Linked DNA regions of Saccharomyces cerevisiae S288C. The gene in region 3 interacts genetically with the main gene of each other region. Each region holds a gene or a part of one and is shown on either strand. Other genes may lie near its edges.

Region 1 (3,526 bases), on a different chromosome or scaffold from region 3:
CACCATAACCATCAACTTGGTTTTTACATTCATTCCATGTATTATAGATCCCAGTTTCCCTGCCCTTTCTAACCGCGTAGAAGTTCCCTTGCCTTGCCATAATTAGGAATCGATAGTTCCTTCGATAAGCAAGGAGTGACACTTTAACTAATTTAAACAACGTGTATTATTGTGCTGCCATGAAATTAATATAGATCTTTACGACTATTGTACTTGCTTTTATTCATTGTTGATGCTGCTGTCATTTTTACATTTTTTTCTCCAGATAAAAAATAAAAAAAATATGCCATTAATTGATATCATCAGAATTTGACGAAATTCTCAAATCGAATTTGCCATAGTATTTCTTTAACGCCGTGAAGTGAAATTATTTATTACTAATGCTACATTAATTGTTAATTTACCTGTTTCAAGTACAATACAGTAGGTGCAGTGTGCTTTATACATGTCATCAAAGAGGAAAAAAAATCATTAAATTTGTATAAGTGCTACAGCCAAGATCAACCGCTTAAATTGGGAAGAGATTCGTTTTCCAATTTGATTTCTTTTTCGGGTGTTTGCTTTTGTTCCTCTTCATGTTTCACAATTTCATCGGGATTAAACAAGTGCTTAGTTAAGAGTTTATTCATTGAAAACATCGTCATTTTTTTGCCAAAAATTGGTTCCATCTTCTCATCGCATAGAATTTCTCTACGATCTTTTGGGTTTTGAAGATCATGCTCTTTGATATACTGCCATATCATCTTCACTACTTGCGTTCGTGGCAGTTCTTCAGATCCTAGAAACTTTTGTAAAGGAGCTGACAACAGAACTTTGCGGACGGAAATGCTGTTGGAATCAGGACTATCATTCTTTTTCTTCTTCCTTTTAGATTTACTTTCACTTTTACCTTTCCTTTTCCTCGTAGACCTCAAGGGTCTTTCTTCTTCCTTCTGTAACCTCAAAGATAGTTCTTGATCCCGACTAATGAGGTCGTTCTTCGGAATTAAGACTCTTGGGTTTTCTTGTATATCGCCGAACCTCTCAAGAATCAATTCATTAATTAACTTTCTTTGTGAATCCAAATTAACTGAATAGAGAATTTGCAGGGCTTTCCTCACCCTTTTTGGGCTTATTTCATCGGGGTTGGATACGCTCAAAATAGCGTCAACCATCGGAATATATTTATTGATGTCGGCCATAATGCTTTCACCCTCTATTTGCCTTCTATTTGCTCATTTCCTCTTAAACTTTTTCTTAAGGCTTTTCATGAATTAATTAAAATTTTCTTTCTCCTTCGCGCCAGCAAACAAATTATAGGTGACTGACTATAGTTCAACATATATACTGCTCCAGCGCAGTAGTACTACTTTAATAAAAAAGAAAACAAAACATTCTAAAAACTATAAGCTAAATATACTCTTTTGTTAAAGTTCGAAAAGTTTTCTGACAACACGGCTTCCACTAGGGTCTCCAGGGAAAGGCCAATCTTTTCTTACCATGCGTTTTGTCATATATCGTGATTTAGAATAACACTGCAAAATATCAAGATTTTTAATTTGGCCGGTAGCTATAGAGTCATTAAGAGACATATTTTCAAGATCTTTTTGCAGGTATTTTTTTCCACCAGCAATGATTTCCAAATATTTTAAGAAGACTTTGATATAGTTCAACAAGATACATTCGATAGTATCGTGGATCAAAGTAATAAAGACCGGTAATTCCCTTTTCATCTGGTTTTGCAGGTTTTGGAAATGCATTCCCAACAAGTCACGTTTAATATCTCGCACATTTGCTTTTTTTTCTTGTAAAAATAACATGTAATCTTTCTTCAAAGCTTGCAAATCTTTTAGTTTGCTTTTAACGGTAGTACAATGGGCTATGATTCTTTCAAGTGGGTTCATCACATCTGTTTCGAGCTCTGTGAGTTTCAAAATTGTTACTTGATTTTTTTGTTCATGCAGTTTATCTATGTACGAAGAACACATGGTCGATATTAAGTTATCGTGCGCAAAAAATGCACCAGAAGGGCGTTCGCACTCGATCACCTTTTTCCATGCATTTATTCTTCTTAAACTGATATCAATAATGCCTGACAGATCGTTTTTCAATAAATTCTTTTTTAATTCTAACAAACCTTTCATTACTTTCTTGAATTTACTGATGTGATCTGCCAATGTAAAAAATTCTGTTTCTTCATCCATTTTTAGATTTATCATCTCAGCTGAGGCAGTTGAAGTATTAGTGACAATTTCTAGCCCTGATACATCTGAGTAGTAACTCGATGATCCAGAAAGAAGAGAAGGAACTCTACTATTATCCAAATTACTCTCTTGTCGAGATGCATTACATATATTTTTATTTTGTTTGTCTGGGGGTTTTAAAAGGTGTGTAAACTGATCTTCATCATAACTTTGTATAATCTCTGATGGGGTTAAACTGAAATTATACATGGAATTACTCTTATACTCGGAGACCTCGGTTTCTAACTTATTGGAAAATAAAGAATATTTTCTTCTTGTCGGGCTTAGTTTCAAGCCCAATTCTGGCGAAAGAATATCTTCGTAACAGCTTTCCAAAGTTTCCAAAGTATCAATCCACTGAGTCAGTCTTTTCATCGGGCTTTTCAATATGTCCTCTAACTTTATACATCCACTCTCTTTTAAACAATATTCATACCACTTGTTAAAAAAATGATTCTTATTCATCCTTAATGTAGTAAATAGTTCCATTTGTTTTTGGTGGCTAACAAAATAGCTTGTGTAGGTGGATTTGATTCTTAACAAATGTTGCTCGAACGCCTCTGAAATATCAAAAGTTGAATATAGCTGCTGTTGTACCTCATTTTTGGTGAATATCTTTTGCCATTCATTCGCATCCAACATTTTCCCACGTTGCTTGGCTAAAAGTAGGTCTTTTATTGCCGTTACCAGTATTTTGCTGATTGACGCAATAGTGTCAATGTTCCCAAAAAGCAATAGCTCGTCACTTGAATCAAGCTTGACAAGTTTATTCTTGAATCTTGGATCACTATTCAATGCCTTTCTGTATACGTTATTTGCGGTTAACAAATTATTGTAATATTCCACTTCAGAGAGGTAAAACTCCTGTACGATTTTATAAAATTTGCATCCCTCGTGAGGAGAATTGGGAATCTGAGGGCTCAAATTCAGTCTCACGACATTTTGAAATATCTCTGTGTTAATAGGAGAGTAAATTTTTTTATTGCTCAGGCTCTCCACTATAGAATGCAAGTCCAGACTTGCTGGTCGTTTATTCGTGAATTTTTTATCGTTGAGTTTGTTTTCATGTTTCGATAACTTTCTCGTAGGTTTTCTAACAATTTCTGGTAATTTGTCATCATTTTTATGAAAATAGTCATTTTTGTAGTCTCTTATTGGCGTTAATGAATCATTTTTCGGATAGTTCAAATCGTACAAGTTATATGAAGTCTTAAACATCGCAAGGGGTTTTCTTGTCTTTTTCTTAAGAACTTACTATAACAAGAAAACCTAAAATTGGTTTCACAAAGAAAAAAGATACTTTG
Region 2 (3,328 bases), on a different chromosome or scaffold from region 3:
TTAGAAATTTGGAAACTTGATAAGAAAATAAATGATAGCATATATATCAACCAGATAAGAGAAATACAAGTTCATCAAAAAAATATTCTTTTTCATTTTTTTTTTTTTTTTTTTTTTTCAGAGAAATGAATCATCGCTACCGAATAGATGGAAGATTAGAAAAAAAAAGAAAAAATACGAACCTTTTGGCGTGGGGCGCTGATTTTTCCGCGCCGAGATCAGCAACTGAAGCCAAGCCGGTACCGGCAGGCTCCGGCGGCTAGGCGTTTGTCACCTTTCATCCGTGCCGACTGACAGACAATGATACTAAAAGACAGTAATTATGGTATTAGTGGCAAAGTTCTGTTTACATAACTTCTTATTGCTTATATAGGTATGAAAAAAGACATAAGGATGCTATCATATAAAACTAATGGAAACACTGAAAAGCATAATAAATATATAATCATGTTAGAATAAATAGACAACACAAGAAAAGACACTATGAATATCTCCTCCATTTATCTATTTACTTTATTGTCGGGTTCCCCCCTCCTCAAACTTTCGTAAAGTCTTAAAAACTCACCTTGCGACATGTTAGAGATGTCAACATTCTTTGGTATTTCTACTTCTGCGGGTAATCTCCCTTCCTTAACGTCCTCAACATCGGAACTGTCCTGTGATCCTATGGAAGATCTTCTCATGCTCTGCAAGTTCTCTTGCTGATGTGTCCTAGGTTGACGGTACTCTTTCGAAAACATAACCTGCGTTTTACTGTCTCCTGTGTTGTTATGGTTTCCTCCATATACACTTGGATCTGCGTGCTTTTTCTTGTCGTATACTGCGAATGCGTCCCAAAAACTACCCATATTTGATATCTCGATTAGTTGGTTTTATTTATCTTGTTACAGAAGTGGCTACAAAAAAAAATTTTATGGAGTTGCAATAGGAAGGGAGGCTCCTATTTATATACTCACTACAAGATATGGGGGTGATTAGCCAAGCAAGATTGTTATCGCACATCATTACCCCACCCTGCTCCCTCTTATCTCCCTGATTCTGTCACCACTACTTCACATCTAGTACCTTAGAACCCAGTCATAAAAGCGCAAACTGACTGGTGTACTTTCCCGAAATATTGCTTAATTGTGCCTTGTGGAGGCTTTAGCAATTAAGGGAGGCGGCTGATGTCCATCAACCGCCCTGCCAGGAGCCAGATGGCGATGTATGGGGTTTTGGCAAAGCGCAGGGAAGTCACTCTTTTGCGTTGGGGTGACGCCGCCGTCCTCATGATGTGTTAGTTATACGTAAATCATGACTACCAGGCACATCAGTGGACGGCGCTAACACCCTTCATCATTTCTGCTCTGATAATTAAACGTGCCAGATGACTTTTTTTCAAATAGTGATGGATTCTTTTTACAGTTTATCTGGGCTTTATATAGGAGATTATTGCCATCCAGATAAAAATTGTAAGAATGATGATTATCTAAAGTTTAGGTTTTGTCAAAAGTTGGCGCTAAACTAGAAAATACAAAGGATTGAAACTTTGATAATCTTTTATGATATATATACTATGACACCATCACTTCTTATAATTGACATGTCTCACATCCCCTAGACACATTTTTATGATAGTGCTTTTTGCATTCTCTGATTGATATAGTTACGTAATTGACTTTTTTAGAGGTTATCGCGCAAACGACGAGTTTGAACGTAAACAAATATGAAACTAATACTGAAAAGGGAAGCATTGGTGATTTTTTTTTCTTGTTCGTACTTCCTTCTGAGCAGAAAGTAAAAAGCCCAGAATGCGACAAAGACATACTCCGGCTGACAATAACGCAAGTGCTGTCACATAAGACTCCTTATATATGACAGTTTGCTGTATTTGTACAGTTGGACCGTCTTCATTACAACAATATTTATTGAACAGTAGCTTGTAATAGGCCGGCATTTTTTTGGTTAATAACAATGCCAGATAACCGCGAAGATTTATAATGGTTTATCGGTTGCATTTTCCATGAGTATAGAAACTATTATAGCGACCTCATTCTCCGGTCATTTAAATTTCCAAGGATCTTAGAGTCCACAAAGGACACAAATAATTTTACATAATAACGATATTACCTCTTTTTCCATTTTATGCGTTGTCGTTCACTATCCTGTTACATTATCAATCTTCGCATTTTAGCTTTTACCACATCCGATAGCCGTTTCTCAATATTATGCCATCTTCCTACACCATATAAGATAATATACCAGTAATATTGATACCAGTGAATGGATGATAGTTGATTGTTATTCCAACAAATAAAATCACAATCATTATCACCATTGCAATGAAACTCCATTTATCATCTATTTAGTAGTATTCATGTTTCTAGTATATAATCATATGCGGTGTAAGAAAATGACATAAAGTTTGAGAAACAGTCATCAAATCTAATGAAAGCTGAAATGCGAAGATTGATAACGTAATAGGATAATAAACGACAACGTATAAAACGAAAGAAGATAAAGTAATTTTTATTATATAGATTTATCGACTCCCTTTTGTGGATTCCAAGATCCTCGAGGAGAACTTCTAGTATATACTGTATACCTACATTATAGCTTTTGTTGACAATGGAGTCCCAACAATTATTACAATATTCACTTATTTCTCACATCATTATGAAGTGACTCCCCTCGGTTAAACGTTAGCGTGTTCTTCATTGCCTGTGGATGAGGATGAGCGCCGGTGCAAACTTTCAAGTTTTTCGAGAGCGTCTTCAAACTTAGCTACCACATTGTTGTCTACATCAACAAAAGTATGGTTCCATACTAAACTACCATCTTCTTTATTGCCGCTTAATTGTAACACGTCTACATTACCAGAATGATGAACTCCGCCTGTCAGATAGTCGTGCTTTGGTGCGGTCTTGATAAAATTGTTGATTGCTTCCATCGATATCATGATTCAGCCTAGGATTTGTGGGTTGCTTTGATTGATTGGAAATGATCGACTATGAGACCTTGAACCAGTTTAATTTTAAAATAAATATTTTTGTTGAACTAGTTCAGCAACCGAAATCCAGAAAAAAAGTTCTAGAAGAATAGTTTTATTAACTTTGAGAAAGTAAAAGCTGAGATAAAAAACCAGCTCAACATATAAGAATACAAGCTGACGGTAAATAACAATAAGTAGCCTTGTTGGCGCAATCGGTAGCGCGTATGACTCTTAATCATAAGGTTAGGGGTTCGAGCCCCCTACAGGGCTTCTTTTTTTGAAGATTCAAGTAAATATGCTGCATACATAATTCTCATTCAAAATATATACACTTAAGACATCTGGCCTTTTCTAGTT
Region 3 (6,327 bases):
TATCCAATCAAAAGCTCGTTTAGGGATTGTAGAAGAGCTGACTATTGTAGTTAAATATTAGGGGAAATGAATATATTTTATCATGGGAAATACGTGGAACGTGTAATATGTTGTTGCTGCTCCCAAAATAAATTTACCTGACGAAAACCTTATATTTCCGGAAAAAAAAGCTTAAAGATAAAAGGTTAATTGTACTTTTAAACTCTTGCGGAATCTCTGTGCTCGGAGAAAAATATCCTGGAAAAGAAGATGCGGGGTAGGCGGACTTAAAAGATAAGTGCACATTTTTCCGGACTTCGAGTGGCGACAGACAGCCTGTTAACTATTTTTGAGAATAATTAATCTTTAGGGGGGTTTTAGTAAAACAAACAAAAGACTCAAAATAACGCCAAGAACATCCGAAGAAGTCCTGGTCGCGCTTTTTGCTGAGGTGGCTTTAAAAAACTAGTTTGCTGAGAGATGTAATAATGGCTTTAACAGATAATTCCTCGTTTGGCCACATTATCAAAAGGCAACCTCTTTCTGAAAACGGTATAGCCGGAAATGACTGCCGAGTTATATTATTGTTCGGTATACTCAAGTTATTGGTACGAAATATACGATAAGAATCTACCGAATTTTCATCCATTTAGTGAGAACGTTGGGTGAATTGAAAAAGGTGATAGATTTTTCTGCTTTGGCCTTGGATTAGCCAAAGTATCAATCCTTAAAATATTTGCTGGCAGTGTGATTTTTGCCCCTATCTGAGCAAATTTTGTTATCTTTTTCAACGTCAGGCTGAAATTGACAACTTGAGTAACGTAAATCAATATGGCACTTCTCCAATTTATATCGCATGAGAAAAATAGCATTGGTCAATCATACAGAACGTAACATCAAAAAACAACCGTTTACATATATATAATCACTTGTCTAAAATTGATTGAAATTGCATATGAGAAAATATATGATAATGACAATAATTTTCTTTGAGCACAATTAGTTTATTTGGCAACTTGCTCTTTATTATTAGTAAATATAGCACATATTCATATAAAACACATCTTCAGTGGGATTACCTAGTTGATGGTGCCAGGAATTTTCCTATCGTCAACGAGCTGAAAATTTTATTATTTTTATTAATAACATAATGTGAGACTCCTGGTTTGACATTTAATTTTACGTATTAGTCGAATTTTGTTCTTGCCTACAATAAAAAGACAATTAAGCCGCAGGCAGTCTCATTCTTTATTACAAAAACAAAACGATAGAATTTAGAGCACAAGTAAGAGATGGTAACAAAGTCACGGCTCCCGGATGTAGTATGTCGTCAAATAATAAGTTCGTGAAATTAATAATTAGGTTATAAATCGTAAAAAATTGAAAATATTAATTATGACGAAGTAGGCACAGATTTCTTGCTGCCAGTGTTGCTGTTGCTGTTAACACCAGATTCATCTGAGACAGTGCCATCATTCTGGTGGAACTCCGCATGTAAAAGTTTACCTACCCTATTCTCAATATAACCGTTGTCTGGGTAGTTGACTGGGGATTCGCATCCAGTAAAAATGAAAATGTCATATATGAGTGCTCCAGCAATACCGCCGGCAATTGGACCACCCCAGGCTCCCCATGTCCACCACCAATGTGTGAGATGAAAAGCATGTGGACCATAGCCAATCATGGAAGCAAATATGCGAGGACCGAGATCTCTTGCAGGATTGATTGTGAAACTTGTTTGATATCCAAGGGCCATACCAATTGCAGCGACTAAGAATCCAATAATTAATGCGGTCATACCATTGCCAGGTGGAGCATTACTATCATCCAATAGCGCCATCAAACAACCCACAAGTATAGAGGCTCCTATGAATTCGTCAAAGAAGGCATTTCTCCACGTGACGTAAGACTTTGGATCAGTAAACAAACACGCACCGGTCGCCGTTGTTCTTATGTGCGGACCTCCCTCAAATTCTGTGATAGAGCTCCAAAAATAACCATAAGCCATAGCTCCTCCAAAATATGCACCGATAATCTGAGCAACAATATATACGGGCACCTTTTTCCAGGGGAATTTTCGAAAAATTGCCATTGAAATCGTAACAGCAGGGTTAATATGACCACCACTAATACCGCCTGCGACGTAAACACCAAGCATACAACCGAACCCCCATGCAAATGATAGGGATTCATAGGAACCACCACTACCTTTTGTTACAGTTGCTTGAAGATTACCACCAACACCAAAAATGACAAGAACTAGTGTCCCGAGAAACTCCGCAAACGGTTCTCGCATATGATAGCGAATTTTTGCCCAAAAGTTAGGAAATGTCATTATATCCGCGTCTTCATCTTCTGAGGCACCAATTTCATTACCATCTAATGCACTCGTACTTTTATTTTCCTCTTCAATAAGTTCTTCAGGAAGCTTCGTATAAACCGGAGTAGAACCATCGAGGGTTTGCATGTTCTTTAATTTTCTGGATTCTGCATCGGCTATGGAGGATGCGTAGCTTTCATCGCCTAATGAAAAATTGACATTATGCGAAGTACGCTTTTTCTTACGTGAAACATTCTCAATATGCGTGTTAGAGGGCTTTTGTGGGTTTTCAGGCTCTAACTTAGTAGGTTTCACATCTGCACCAACAGTATTATCGCGTTGCGTTTGAGCTTCGATGTCACCAAGCTTTTTACCCGGTGCTGCACCTCTAAGGAGCCTTTTCCAGTCTTTCACTGACGTAGTAGAACCCCCCCTTGAAATATCGGTCGACCCTCGTCTCGATGATGCGCGGGACCTTGCATCCATATTCTTTTGTATCATCTTTGCTGCCAAGCCTCGATCCAATACATGCGGTAACGGCTGATTTAAACTCCAAACAGGCCTGTTCCTGCTACTACCCATAGTTGGATTTAATTGCCGATATAGTGGGTCTACATAATTATTACTGTTGCCTTGATTTACCCCCCTGGATAGATAATCTTGCATTATACGTGCTTGCTCAGCATCTGAAAAACTGTTTAAAGTCTTCAAATTAGGCAAAGAATAAGTAAAACCCATGGAAGGGACCTGTGGTTGTACCGAATCCTTCCTCTCGTCAACCACTTTTTTCAAGGGTGTCAAAGCAGAAAGTTTATTTCTCGATGATCCTCCAGTTTCAATTGCTTTTCGAGTCTCACCTAGCTTTCGCCTCAAGAGAGTGCTGTCATTTTCGTTATTTTCCCTAGATTTTTTGACACTTTCTTCCCAAGCTATTTTACCATTAGGTTCTTCTTTTAGCGTTGGTGGCCGTGTACTCTCGGAAGAGGAGGATGACCTCCCAGATTCGTAACTCATTACTTGGGTCTAGATCATATATCAGAGGAGCGTTATACTGTGCGATTATACGCTTCTTTTTATATGAATAAGGGGGAGACATGGTGAAAAGGTACCAGAACTTTTGATCGACCAAGACTAGGTAAAGCTCAAACAACGTTTATAACTCAAATTTCCGGGGTAAGTGGGGTACCGGAAAATTATGATATTCCGGAGCGGAGTTATCAACGGAGAAAACTAGGCCTTCTGATGGAACTTAATTTAAAAAATTAATCACAACCTATGCATATTATTCCCGCAGAGGGTGATTGTGAGTAAATCCCTGCACAGAAACAATTCCCGCCAGGCCATAACTAGATTCTAAATTATTTAACTCATAATTTCATGAAATCGTATCGTAGTACCAAATAGGGAGATATTGAGCCAAGTAAATTCTTACGTCACCATAGTTGGATAATTAAGTACTTGATATTGTATAAGGATCTCAACAATACGAGAAGGGGAAAATACCGCAATGTGTGATTGAATTTTCAAACTTTGGATCATTAAATATATATAAATGAACCCAGATCAGCCCTTTTTTTTTCTAGTATTGTCTGTAAAGTGTATTTTACCTCAAAATCTGACAAAACCCAACTACAATTGACTAAATAATCATGTCTCACAAACAATTCAAATCAGATGGAAACATCGTTACTCCCTACCTACTTGGCCTTGCTCGAAGCAATCCCGGCCTTACAGTGATTAAGCACGACAGAGTGGTTTTCCGGACTGCGTCAGCTCCTAATTCAGGGAACCCTCCTAAAGTTTCATTGGTTTCTGGAGGTGGCAGTGGTCATGAGCCAACGCATGCCGGTTTTGTTGGTGAAGGTGCCTTAGATGCGATTGCAGCAGGTGCCATTTTTGCTTCTCCTTCAACTAAACAGATCTATTCTGCTATTAAAGCTGTTGAATCTCCTAAGGGTACCTTGATCATTGTAAAAAATTACACCGGTGATATTATACATTTTGGTCTCGCTGCTGAAAGAGCTAAAGCTGCTGGAATGAAAGTCGAACTGGTTGCTGTAGGAGATGATGTCTCTGTCGGTAAGAAGAAAGGTTCTTTAGTCGGGCGTCGAGGTCTCGGAGCCACCGTATTGGTGCATAAAATTGCTGGGGCAGCCGCTTCTCATGGACTGGAGTTGGCAGAAGTTGCCGAAGTTGCTCAGTCAGTAGTTGACAATAGTGTCACAATTGCGGCATCTCTTGATCACTGCACGGTTCCTGGCCACAAACCTGAAGCCATTTTGGGCGAGAATGAGTATGAAATCGGTATGGGTATTCATAACGAGTCTGGTACCTATAAGTCTTCTCCGCTGCCATCGATTTCTGAGCTCGTTTCCCAGATGCTTCCTCTTCTTCTCGATGAGGATGAAGACCGTTCTTATGTGAAGTTTGAGCCCAAAGAGGACGTAGTTCTTATGGTTAACAACATGGGTGGTATGTCTAATCTAGAATTGGGTTATGCTGCAGAGGTCATTTCTGAACAATTGATTGATAAGTATCAAATTGTGCCCAAGAGAACGATTACTGGAGCATTCATTACTGCATTGAATGGTCCTGGGTTTGGTATCACTCTTATGAACGCTTCAAAAGCTGGTGGCGATATCCTTAAGTATTTCGATTATCCTACCACAGCGAGTGGATGGAATCAAATGTACCATTCTGCCAAAGATTGGGAGGTACTTGCCAAAGGGCAGGTTCCCACCGCCCCCTCTTTAAAGACATTGAGGAATGAAAAAGGTTCGGGTGTGAAAGCTGATTATGACACTTTTGCTAAAATTTTGCTTGCTGGGATTGCAAAAATTAACGAGGTTGAACCAAAGGTTACTTGGTACGATACCATTGCAGGAGATGGTGATTGCGGAACTACTCTTGTGTCCGGTGGTGAAGCATTGGAAGAAGCTATTAAAAACCATACGTTGCGCCTCGAGGATGCTGCTCTTGGTATCGAAGATATTGCGTATATGGTTGAGGATTCTATGGGTGGTACGTCCGGTGGTCTGTACTCTATCTATCTTTCTGCTCTCGCACAAGGAGTTAGGGATTCTGGGGACAAGGAACTTACTGCGGAAACTTTCAAAAAGGCATCAAACGTTGCACTAGATGCTTTGTATAAGTATACGAGAGCCCGTCCTGGTTACAGGACTCTGATCGATGCTCTGCAACCTTTTGTCGAAGCGCTGAAAGCCGGGAAGGGTCCCAGAGCCGCCGCCCAAGCTGCTTATGATGGTGCCGAAAAGACAAGGAAGATGGATGCCCTTGTTGGGCGTGCTTCTTACGTGGCTAAGGAGGAGCTGAGAAAACTCGACAGCGAAGGTGGATTACCAGATCCAGGAGCAGTTGGTCTTGCTGCACTACTCGATGGATTTGTTACAGCTGCTGGGTACTAGAATTGCTCGTACACACTAGAAGCCAAACATAACAGCTTTAAAGGCTTTCATTTTTGAACTTTTTAAAAAATTGAATACTCCAACTGAAGGTGAACTAGTTGTGTCTCTGAATATATTTTTATAGATATACGAATTGATGAAGTACCGCAAATTAAGCTAAAAAGTAATGCTTCTTGCAGCTTTTAATTGTTCTTTCTGCAATCTACAATTACTTTTCTTGATTCCTTCTCCGTTCCCCTGTGTTGTCTGGAAGTATAATTTGTCCAGGAAGATTTTTTGAATAGCCATTGTTTTCTTTAAATTAAATCGGAGTGTTTAAATCCATTCCAATCTCTTTTTTCTCGCAAGTCAACAAACAGGTGTTAACTTTCTTTTCCCCGCTGTTTTCTTACCTATGAATAGTCTCAATTCCTTTTTAGAAGATCTGCACATTCTCTGATACTATGAACAAGTTCTAGGATAGCAATCTAAGTTTTATGATTCTCTTATTTCGGATTCGATTTCAATAAAGATCGTAGTATTAGAAGTATAGAATGTATTGTAATTTTTTTTCCTAATCTTATTAATTCATGGAAGGCATTGAACTCAACAGCATATTTTAAA

Evidence for each region.
Region 1: mutations in AQY3 (region 3) and TRI1 together harm fitness less than expected from each alone (positive genetic interaction), as found in Saccharomyces cerevisiae (one large-scale study listed by BioGRID).
Region 2: mutations in AQY3 (region 3) and SPG4 together harm fitness less than expected from each alone (positive genetic interaction), as found in Saccharomyces cerevisiae (one large-scale study listed by BioGRID).

Annotation. Positions count from the first base shown.
Region 1 is NC_001145.3:736,840-740,365, reverse strand, and holds TRI1 (Tri1p), read right to left. Parts: upstream 1,182-3,526; coding exon 501-1,181; downstream 1-500. Other genes in the region: RNH1 (RNA-DNA hybrid ribonuclease), read right to left, coding at 1-100; FUS2 (Fus2p), read right to left, coding at 1,407-3,440. UniProt on the Saccharomyces cerevisiae protein: May be involved in transcription regulation.
Region 2 is NC_001145.3:480,534-483,861, reverse strand, and holds SPG4 (Spg4p), read right to left. Parts: upstream 849-3,328; coding exon 501-848; downstream 1-500. Other genes in the region: YMR106W-A (uncharacterized protein), read right to left, coding at 2,675-2,938. UniProt on the Saccharomyces cerevisiae protein: Stationary phase-essential protein not required for growth on nonfermentable carbon sources.
Region 3 is NC_001138.5:19,475-25,801, forward strand, and holds AQY3 (Aqy3p), read right to left. Parts: upstream 3,314-6,327; coding exon 1,373-3,313; downstream 1-1,372. Other genes in the region: DAK2 (dihydroxyacetone kinase), read left to right, coding at 3,949-5,724. UniProt on the Saccharomyces cerevisiae protein: Channel protein that mediates glycerol entry under ethanol stimulation. Does not seem to mediate glycerol uptake under standard conditions.